Linked DNA regions of Drosophila melanogaster. The protein of the gene in region 3 interacts with the protein of the main gene of each other region in a pairwise test. Each region holds a gene or a part of one and is shown on either strand. Other genes may lie near its edges. The genes, in order: CG42597, Cyp6t3 and Obp18a.

Region 1 (2,940 bases), on a different chromosome or scaffold from region 3:
CGTCTACCCGGTAGTCCTTACTGTCCTGATGCAGAGCAATAGTTTCGTAGATGGAGTAGACTTTTCCAACATTTAGCCGCACAAAGGATCCAATCACAGCCTCCGCGAAAATAGGTTTACCCAGTAAGTTCTTTATGTCGTTCCGTTTTAACACTGCTCGACTCAGCTGTTCCAGGTTGGATACGCGTTCATCGCTTTCAACGTTCGTTTGCGGATCGTTTTGGGCTGTATTCTCGCTCTCACTGTTAGGCGAGGAATCGCCGGAATAAGTCTCTTTGACCTCGATATTTACATCCTTACGCGTTTGTGCCTTGCAATCATCACTAGACTTCGTCTGCTCTGCACTGTCTTCGGAACATTTTCCCTTGCTCAATTTAATGGTGCGAATTGCCAATAATCGCTCAAAAGCATGTGCTGTTTTGCCACCAGACTCCAGTTTATTTGCGATCTTACGTCTTGTCCGTAAGCGCTCAACCATTTTTTTATACTTTTACTCTACGAATATCGGGTATAAAAAGTTTAATTGTAAATTCGATGAATTATTCAAAAATGCGAATCATAGGTAGGCCTCAGCAGGAATCATATTTATATGAACTTTTTTTTAATACTAAAACTACCGGATATTCAACTGGCAGTTTTTGTAATATTACAAATATGTTAAATTCTCGCAGCTGTTCAGTGTTCCTCATTCAATTTGCTTCGCTCGACATCGGCAAATATGAGTTTTGATATTGGAATTTTTGGTGGCGGCTGTTCAATAAGCACAAAAAACCGTAATAAGCTAGAATCCACGACAGGTGACTGAGTTAGCAGGAGAAAAAAAATATGCGCACACAAAAGCGAACCATTTTGTGTGGGTCTGGCGAGCAGTACGCGTATTCTTATTTGGCTAAATGACAAAACTTCATCAAAGTGAGCTTACGACTTCCTTGCTTTGATAAAAATTCCAATTTCTTTTTAGTGATGTTGGCTTTTGGCCGGACTTCCATTGGATATCTAATTGGAATTTAAAATGGCGGCACAATTAAATGGTACTGCTATATAAATAATTCTACAGCAATTGTTTGCAAGAAACACTAATTTAAGTAAAATGCAAATGATTTCCGGTATTAGGAGCACGGAGTGGAGCCAGAAGTGGTGCTCCGCATTCGAGGTGAGTGCGTTGGGGATGTATCTTCTGGATATTGCATGAGATTCGTATCCCCTCCACCTAAGTTTTCAATTGCGATTCAGTTTCGTTTCCATGTTGCAACTATAGCAACGACGACGACGTCATACGATTAACGTGAGCTGCATATTTTCGGCTAATTTTCTAATTAAAATGATATTTATGCATTTTTTAGCTGACAGAATTAAACATTCAGTGCCAAAGCCAATTTTTACAGGCAAAGTGAACAATGAAGCACGTACTAACCTCTCGCATAAAGATATTGACATTACATATTACAAAAGATAAGGGAGTAGGTATAATCCGTTTTAAAAGGTAGTGGTAAAGGTAAGGTAGACTTCATAAAAATCAATCAATTTTTTATCTGCTTTAGTCTTCCACGAGTTCAGCTGGTTTTCAACTTTGAAGTCCCTAAAGTTTTCATTTAACTTGCCAACGCAATACAGGAATTATTCTCCGACCCAGCAAGCATTTTAAATTGAAACAAACAAAACAATGTGTTTTGTTTTTTTTACCTTATTCATTCTAAATTTGTGTAACTTATACATATTTACAAGACCGCGCAGGCAAGTCACTTCTAACGTCTATATACAGGCAATACCCGATAGTTAACCAATATCCCTTTCTAAGGAAATGACCAGTCCCACGCCTGTTCTATTGGCCTTCGTTGTGCACATGGTGCTCCACACAACGCTCTTCATACATCTAGATCCGGGTATAATTGCAGACACCCCCGTCTTTGGTAGCCAGTTATTCTATTTATCAGTGATGGATCTGCTGTGCGACACAGAGGTAATACCCACGCACTGGAGTAACATTCCGCGGTGGGGAAAGTTTATCCTTGAGACCATTATCGCCATCCTTATTGGCGAAACTTTGATGGTGGGCGTATGGCTTTCCATGGAAACGCTTCTCGTCAACTTTATAAATGTTATAACCAATTGGTTGGGCCTGGGCAGCCGTACAAACACTAATTTCCAGGAGATCGGCACGATTTTATTGGGAGTTATCTTTTTAGTGATAGTGGGTGCCATTACAAATCGACCGGCCAAAGTTTGGAAAATGGCACAACAGTCTTGGAGAATCATCACACAACAAAGTCGTCCTTCGTCCAAACAGAAATCTTTTAAATAAGCAAAAGGACCCACATCGTTTTCGGTTCCTTCTATTAATTTGGGATACCATTTCTAGTTTATGTGCACTTTTTTATTAAAAGGGTGCTCAAAAAAAAAAAATTGGTTATCTCTAATTTCAAGTACCCATCTCTTTGTTCTTTTAACAGTGAAATAGTCAAATATAGTCTTTGATATCTATGCACCCCAATGCTTAATGAAGCTCGATATTCACAAAAGGATGCGATGCACCTTTGTAAATGTTAGCATACGACCTTTACTTAAGAAGAACAACAGGTTTTTCTAATGTCTCGATTCGAAGCCATAGGGCAATTAAATATGTCACGGGTGGGAGCGGAAACTTGTAAGACATTTAACTGTTTGGGCGCGCTTAAATGGAATCTGAGTGAAATAATTACCGTTGGAGAAAATGATTTCGAACAAATCATGTCTTACGGTTATTATACAAAAGGACATCCGTGATCCCTTAGGCAAGAAAATTCGAGAAACATAAGCTGCAGTTGCGCTAAAGGTGTGGGTGTAATTAGTAACATTTGTGCCACCAAACAATTAACATAGAAAGTGGCTCGAACTCTGTGAAGAACACATGTGCGATTGACTCTCTCTTGGGCCATTATGTAATAAAAAGCGCTACTTATG
Region 2 (4,036 bases), on a different chromosome or scaffold from region 3:
CATTCTGGCGGAGAGCACTCGCCCAGTGCAAGTCAGTCTGCTGGCAGCACTCACTAAGTACATCGAAAGACTTCATGTCTTTGATGAGTCTGCTCAAGTGCCGGATTTGACTCAGATAAACCAGGAGAAGAAGATCAAGACAGAGGAGACGGCGCCAAAAACCCGAGAGGCCATTGTCGAGAAGATATGCACAGATGTTTTGGCTGCAGTTGCTCTTGCCGCTGGAGTTCCTCATTCCGGTTTGAAAAAGGAGGCGCTCAACATCGTTCTTATGCTGATCAAGCGGCTGAGCGGAAGCGGAAACGGAAACCAGCAGCCACTGAGGTTGATCAAGCAGAGCTTTGAATCGAATTTGGAAAAGTTCCAGCGCGATTCGGCGCCGGAAATCCGGTGTCGCATCAAGGACATCGAAGACAAGCTAAGCAAGTTGAATCCACAGAATTAAGTCATATTAATATAAGCATTTCAAGGATGTGTGTGTGGCCAAAAAATCTGCCTTGGGTAGATTTTATAAAAGGGGGTAAGCGTTAAAAGAAAACATCTAACTTTGGCAAAAATGAATAAGTAACTTGCATGAAGATAATTTTCTATTGTGATTCATTGATCCAGGAGTGTAAGGAAACCTTAAATATACTATCATAAATACTTTCAGTTTCGTTTTAAGTTCAAATTTTAGGGAGCTATTTAGATTATCTATTCTATTTAGATTATAGGAACAAAGGTGATTACATATCACAGCCGATTGTTTTAGGATGCCTATAACTCTACAAACTACTCCTGCAGAATCTTAGGTATATCTCATTCTCAGACTCCAACATGAAGGACTTTGGATTAAAGCGAATCTCCGATACTGTTCGCTCGCAAGTCTCAACCCAATATTGCTTTAAAATGTGCACTATGCCCAGTTTCAATTGGAGTACGCCCAGGCGACTACCAATACAGCCATGTGGACCTGCTCCAAAGGGTATGTAGGTCATCGGGTGGATGTGCCTAGATCGCTCCGGACCGAATCTCTCGGGATCAAAGACGCAGGGCTCCGGCCAAAACTGGAATTTAGATTGACATAAGTAAGTTGGGATAATCATCACCTTTGGTTTTAAATCTAACCCTTTCATCGCGATGGAGGCCGAGTATTGAGATGTATGCTGGCATCCCTGGTGGCACTATGAAATCCACATGCGGTTGCAGTGAGAATCCCTCGGATGCCGAACTGGTGCACTCTCTGTTGACGAAAGCAGCAGCCGGATAGAGACGCAGTGCCTCCAAACACACCATTTTGAGATAGGGCAAAGTCATCAGTGTGTCATAGCTTAGGGTAGCAGTGGAGATGAAGGCTTCTCGTAGCTCACTCCTCAGTCGTTCTTGAATATCCGGAGCCTTGGCCAACTCATAGAGAGTGAATCCCATCAGGGCTGAGGAGGTTTCAAATCCGGCCAGCAGTATGATACCCGCCTGCGAAGCAACAAAGTCCGGATGCTGGGAATAGTGGTTGGATGAGCGGCTCAACTGAAAGTGCTGCAATTGATTGATGAGATCTCCTTTGGTGGGCTCGTGATGATCATCTACCAAGTGCCTCATATAGCGCGCATAGTCTTCGGTAAAAACTTTGGGCTTCAGCACACCCGTCCACTTGGGCAGAAAGAATACACTCATGAAGTCCAAAACCTTGCGGGGATTGGTGTTAAATAGCTCCTTGGTTTTTGTTATCAACTCGGATCGACCACGACGCAATCCGCCGACATTCAGGCTGTAGAAGAGATTCCCCGTCACGTCGGTGGTGTACAACTGGCACATTCTTCCCAACGGGAGAACGCGCTCCAGCCGATCCCCCAGCTTCCTGTTGAGGTACTGCTCCAAGTCGCTGGCCACATCCAACATTTGGCTGTACATGACATCCCGCATACGGCCGCTGGTGAAGAGCTGGGACATGCATTGCCGACTCTCCTTCCAGTGATGGTACTTAGCCAGCGGTAGCGTCAGTGCACCCATGGGATCTCCGGCGTCCGCCGATTCGAACCGGTTGAGAAAGTTGTTGAAATTCTTAATCAACACCTGGCGGATTAGCTCCGGATCCCGAACCATAAGCGCCGGCGTTTGGAATATGAAGAAGCCAACGATCTTCGCCTGACCATTTCGTGGATCTGCGTAGAGCTGCCGAAAGAGATCGCCAAAAGAAATGCGCAGAAATAGAAGTTGTCCCAAATTGCCCATTGGTGACCAAGAGGAGGGTGGCAGGTGCGGAATCCCACGGCTCCTGAAGTAATCGTACTTGTGCCTTAACCAAAAATTCAGAGTCACAATGGTGAGCAACAGCAGCCAGATGAGCAGCATGGTGTCTATAAGATATAAGATAGAATATTATAACTATGAAATATATACCAGCATTAGGTAAAGATAGCTAAGATCCAAAAAGTCGTTCTTTTGAATGAGGAGGAGACCTTGTTCACGACCGTCAAGAAATGCATTTCCATATGCATAAGTTGAACCTGACCCACTTAACATCTCGACAAGCACTTCCATTCACAAATAGATTCATTCATTGCACTCAGGATCATCTTGATGATCTCATAGTAGAGTTTCCGCTTACCCAAAGCTTTAACTCTATGGTGCTGGCAATATTTCAGCCAGTTGGACATTGGGTTTGGTGGCGTTAGCATGGAACTGGTACTGCTGATCCTCGTGGCATCCCTAATAGGGATTGCCTTTCTGGCGCTGCAGCAGCATTACTCCTATTGGCGGCGAATGGGAGTACGCGAAATCAGGCCCAAATGGATAGTGGGCAACCTGATGGGACTGCTCAACATGCGAATGAGTCCCGCGGAGTTCATATCGCAATTGTATAACCATCCCGATGCGGAGAACGAACCCTTCGTGGGCATCCATGTGTTCCACAAGCCGGCGCTGCTTTTGAGAGACCCCGAAATGGTGAGAAATATCCTGGTCAAGGACTTCGCTGGCTTCTCCAACCGGTACTCGAGCTCCGACCCCAAGGGCGACCCTTTGGGATCCCAGAACATATTCTTCCTGAAGAATCCCGCCTGGAAGGAGGTACGTTTGAAGCTATCGCCCTTCTTCACCGGCAATCGACTGAAGCAGATGTTTCCCCTGATCGAGGAGGTGGGCGCCAGCTTGGATGCCCATCTCCGCCAGCAGCCGCTGCACAACGAGCGGATGCGCTGCTTCGACTTGGAGGCCAAGGAGCTGTGTGCTCTCTACACCACGGATGTGATAGCCACGGTAGCGTACGGAGTGAGTGCCAACAGTTTCACGGATCCGAAGTGCGAGTTCCGCCGCCATGGACGTTCTGTGTTCGAGTTCAACCTGCTGCGTGCCGCGGAGTTCACTCTAGTGTTTTTCCTGCCCCACCTGGTCCCGTTCGTTAGATTCAAGGTGGTGCCGGCGGAGGCCACTCGTTTTCTGCGCAAGACCATCAACTATGTGATGTCGGAGCGGGAAAAATCCGGACAGAAGCGCAACGATCTCATCGACATTCTCATTGAGTTCCGTAGGAGCACGCAGCTGGCGAAGGCATCGGGTATCAAGGATCAATTTGTGTTCGAGGGCGACATCCTGGTCGCCCAGGCGGTACTCTTCTTCACCGCCGGCTTTGAGTCCTCCTCCTCGACCATGGCGTTCGCGATGTACGAGTTGGCCAAGGATACGGACGTACAGCAGCGCCTGCGGGAGGAGATCAAGGATGCACTGGTCGAAAGTGGAGGTCAGGTGACGCTGAAGATGATCGAGTCACTGGAGTTCATGCAAATGATTCTGCTGGAGGTGCTGCGCATGTATCCGCCACTGCCGTTTTTGGATCGCGAGTGCACTTCTGGGAGGGATTACTCGCTGGCTCCGTTCCACAAAAAGTTCGTGGTGCCCAAGGGCATGCCCGTTTATATACCCTGCTATGCCCTGCACATGGATCCCCAGGTGGGTTGAGATACATTTTGCATACATTACCCAACGACTACCCTTTTCCAGTACTTTCCTCAACCGCGAAAATTTCTGCCTGAAAGATTCTCGCCCGAGAATCGCAAGC
Region 3 (3,307 bases):
TAACCAGTGACTCGGCGGCTTTCTTGATGATTGGCTAGCAAAAAGTTTTTGTGGCAGCCGCAATGTCGCCCAAGGAGTTCGTGTGCCATGTCCTGCGTCCTGCGTCCTGCGTCTTTCGTCCTGTGTACTATGTACTGTGTCCTTTGCACTCGACTGCGCTGAGTCGAGTTAATGAAAGGCCAAGTCAAATGCCTCACTGATTGCATTGACATCCTTCTGGCCCTTTTTGGCCCTCTTGGCCCAAAATGTATTTGGCCAAACTTTACGTATGATTTGCTGGGAAAATTGAAATTTGCCCTGCATCCTGTGGGGTCGACTGGGATTCATTATTACGTCCACACATCCGCCCCATCAAGTCGGTTCTGCAGTTCACAGTCTGCGATTTGCATTTCAATTATGTTCAAATTGCATCTTCCATATCTGCCATTTCAAATATTATTCAAGCAGGGGGAAAATTTTGTGTTTGGCTTCCCAGTCCACCCATATATGTACATATGTACATGCATACATACATATTTGGTCAGCAAACTGAAATTTTCTGTTATTTATTTGGCCATGTTTCTTGCGAATTTTCGGAAAATAAAGACTCTGATTGACTTATTATTGCATTATGTATTTCCACCAGTTCTACGTTACTTTGCATAAAACAAATCAATAAAAAGCAGACGAGTTTAAAACAATGCATGTCTACTATTTTGCTCTAATACAATTATTAATCACTGTATACAAATAATAATAATGAAAATCACACTTATACTAAGCACAATCGTGTGTAATTTCCATTAGAGGGCGTTTGATCTGATTAGAAGACTCAACAATGAACTGTGATGAAGCCCATTGTGTCTGTCATGTGTGTGTACATATATGTATGTAGTAATGTATATATGTATACTTTATTTTTTGTTTATTTGGTAAATTACGAGGCGATAGTTCCACTCTGCTTGCCCTTAAAATAACACTGGAGAATCAGGTATGGATAGTCGCACGTGTCCAGATTGGTGACGCCATCGAACTGCTGCTTACACTGGGACAAAATCACGTGGTCCTCTTGAGATCCTCGCTTTCCCACCTTCTGCAGATCGATTTTCCCATCATCACCGAAATAATCCTGGATCAGACACCGGCTATAGCACTTAACGGCCACTGGAACATCCGCAACGGGAGTGGATGGAGCCACTGCCTGCACTTGGGCACTGGTCAGATTGTGGTGCTTTAGGCAACCCTCTGCGTTAACGCGGCCAGCTGATTGCCACTAGAATAGATGGTATTGTTAGATGGACACATAACTATTTCGTTAAGAACTGACCATAGTTATCAAGCAAATCCATAGTACAGCTATGCTGCACACAACCTTCATGGCGAAAATCTGTTTCCCAACTAACAATGAGCGCATCATCACAGCTCTATATATATAACCCATCGATTTGCTAATTCAGCTCAAAAGTAGACAGGAGATTTTAATTAAATAATTGGATGCTACTTTACATTCGCCACACACCAACAAATAAAGTCTATAATTGAAATTTTAAGCGCAGTTCCCGATTATGAGCTACACGTATGTCGTATGCGCAATATCTGCATTACAATTGCCAATAGTAAATTACCAACTTGGTTTTCTTCATATTTATTAAGATAGAAAACATACAATTTTTGGCTTTTACACTCCAAGCATCTCTGAAGTTTAAACAAAAAACATATGTGTAGCCTATCTACTGTATTGGACTTTATTCGTATATTTTATATGGTTCATTAATATAGGTATAAATACAAATTATATTCACGCTTTGCGATTTGCAGCGAATATCACATCTTATACACGATGTAAAAAAAAAAAAAATATTTCGTCATGTTTTTAGGTTGGCCGCAGGCAGTGCTCACTGTACCGCCACAATGTTTATCGTTTTGCATTTTTTTTTTCTTTGTTTTCTTGCGGTTTCCCCTAATTATCTTTAGTATAAACTTAGTCTACTGTCTTTTTTGGTAAGTATTTTCGTGATGGGCTCGTCTATGCGAATTCCCATTTCCAATGAATAAATAAAGTAATTAGAACATTAAAATTAGCAATAAAACACGTACATTTAAAGCTGACAACAAAAAAAAAAAGTATTCTTATGTTAAACTGTAGTATGTGCCTATGCAATATTAAGAACAATTAAATAAAATAGCATATTAACTTATGGCAGCACTTTGTTGCTATGTTTATGTTTATGTTTATGCACGCAGTTAGGCCAGGGCGGATGTAACATGATCACCCACTCGAAGGCAAAAAGTATAAGTGCATGGTCAGCATTCACACGCCGACCAAATACATATTACATACGTACATACATATCTCGCTCTCCCGATAAGCCTAGATATATAAGATATACATAAGAACGCCGCTCCGCTGCTGGCGTACCCGGCAGCGCAGCTACGCGGATTAGCCTAAGTCCAAATATATTAAAAACTGTAAAATCAGAGAGACTCTGTAGACGTTGAGCTGACAGAACCATTTCTGCCTACTCTAAAATCAAAAGAAGAAATTGAATAAATATATGTCAGCCCGACGGCTGCCTTCAACTTAAAACGGACTTGTGTTCTGAATTGGAGTTCATCATTACATGGCGACCGTGACAGTCGTCCAACGCTGGACGAATTGACCAAAGCTGGTGAAAACAAAGGAACAAAGGAACACTGGACTGGAAGAAGACTGGACTAATTAAATGGAACTGCAAAAACCAAGGAAAAATCTGAGTGAGTAGAGTTCTATTGAGTATGGGCAAACACCGTGGCGGTTTGAAAACTAAGCTGAATAAACGTATAGCCCACGTAAGGTGGCTAATATACGGTCAGCAAACGCCACCGGTTTGGTCGAAAGCTCTAAAGCTACATGCAGAGCTAGACCACTTGTTGCAATATCAGCAAGAATTAAAGACCCATAAGCTCGAGAAAACTCACTCAGATAATATTAAAAATATACCCACAATTAATGAAGTTCCAAAATACCAGGCATGTCCAGCACCAGCACCAGCATTAACAAAACCAAAGAAGTCCTGCCCCCCTGGCTGCGAAGGAATCTGGAGTCCCCACTGCCTGGGGACTTGTGAGCGACCATCGACGTCTTCAGCGGCGAAGAAATAGACAGCAGCGAGGGAGTGTCAGCGTGCCACCCCCGGCGACGCCCAGCTGACACCTGATGAGCATCATCAACAGCAGAATATAATAATAAATATATATAAATATAAAGTAAATATAAAATATATATAGATAAGAAAAATTGTAAGAAATATTGTAAAACGGAGCATATACTATTATGCCCTGTTAACCC

Evidence for each region.
Region 1: the proteins of Obp18a (region 3) and CG42597 interact in a two-hybrid assay, tested with the Drosophila melanogaster proteins (one large-scale study listed by BioGRID).
Region 2: the proteins of Obp18a (region 3) and Cyp6t3 interact in a two-hybrid assay, tested with the Drosophila melanogaster proteins (one large-scale study listed by BioGRID).

Annotation. Positions count from the first base shown.
Region 1 is NT_033779.5:22,064,055-22,066,994, reverse strand, and holds CG42597 (uncharacterized protein), read left to right. Parts: upstream 1-1,651; 5' UTR 1,652-1,734; intron 1,735-1,798; 5' UTR 1,799-1,801; coding exon 1,802-2,302; 3' UTR 2,303-2,391; downstream 2,392-2,940.
Region 2 is NT_033778.4:12,188,982-12,193,017, reverse strand, and holds Cyp6t3 (cytochrome P450 6t3), read right to left. Parts: upstream 2,337-4,036; 5' UTR 2,332-2,336; coding exon 1,108-2,331; intron 1,047-1,107; coding exon 765-1,046; 3' UTR 582-764; downstream 1-581. Other genes in the region: CG8858 (uncharacterized protein), read left to right, coding at 1-445; Cyp6g2 (cytochrome P450 6g2), read left to right, coding at 2,656-3,927, 3,979-4,036. UniProt on the Drosophila melanogaster protein: May be involved in the metabolism of insect hormones and in the breakdown of synthetic insecticides.
Region 3 is NC_004354.4:19,134,487-19,137,793, forward strand, and holds Obp18a (Odorant-binding protein 18a), read right to left. Parts: upstream 1,383-3,307; 5' UTR 1,358-1,382; coding exon 1,307-1,357; intron 1,253-1,306; coding exon 917-1,252; 3' UTR 595-916; downstream 1-594.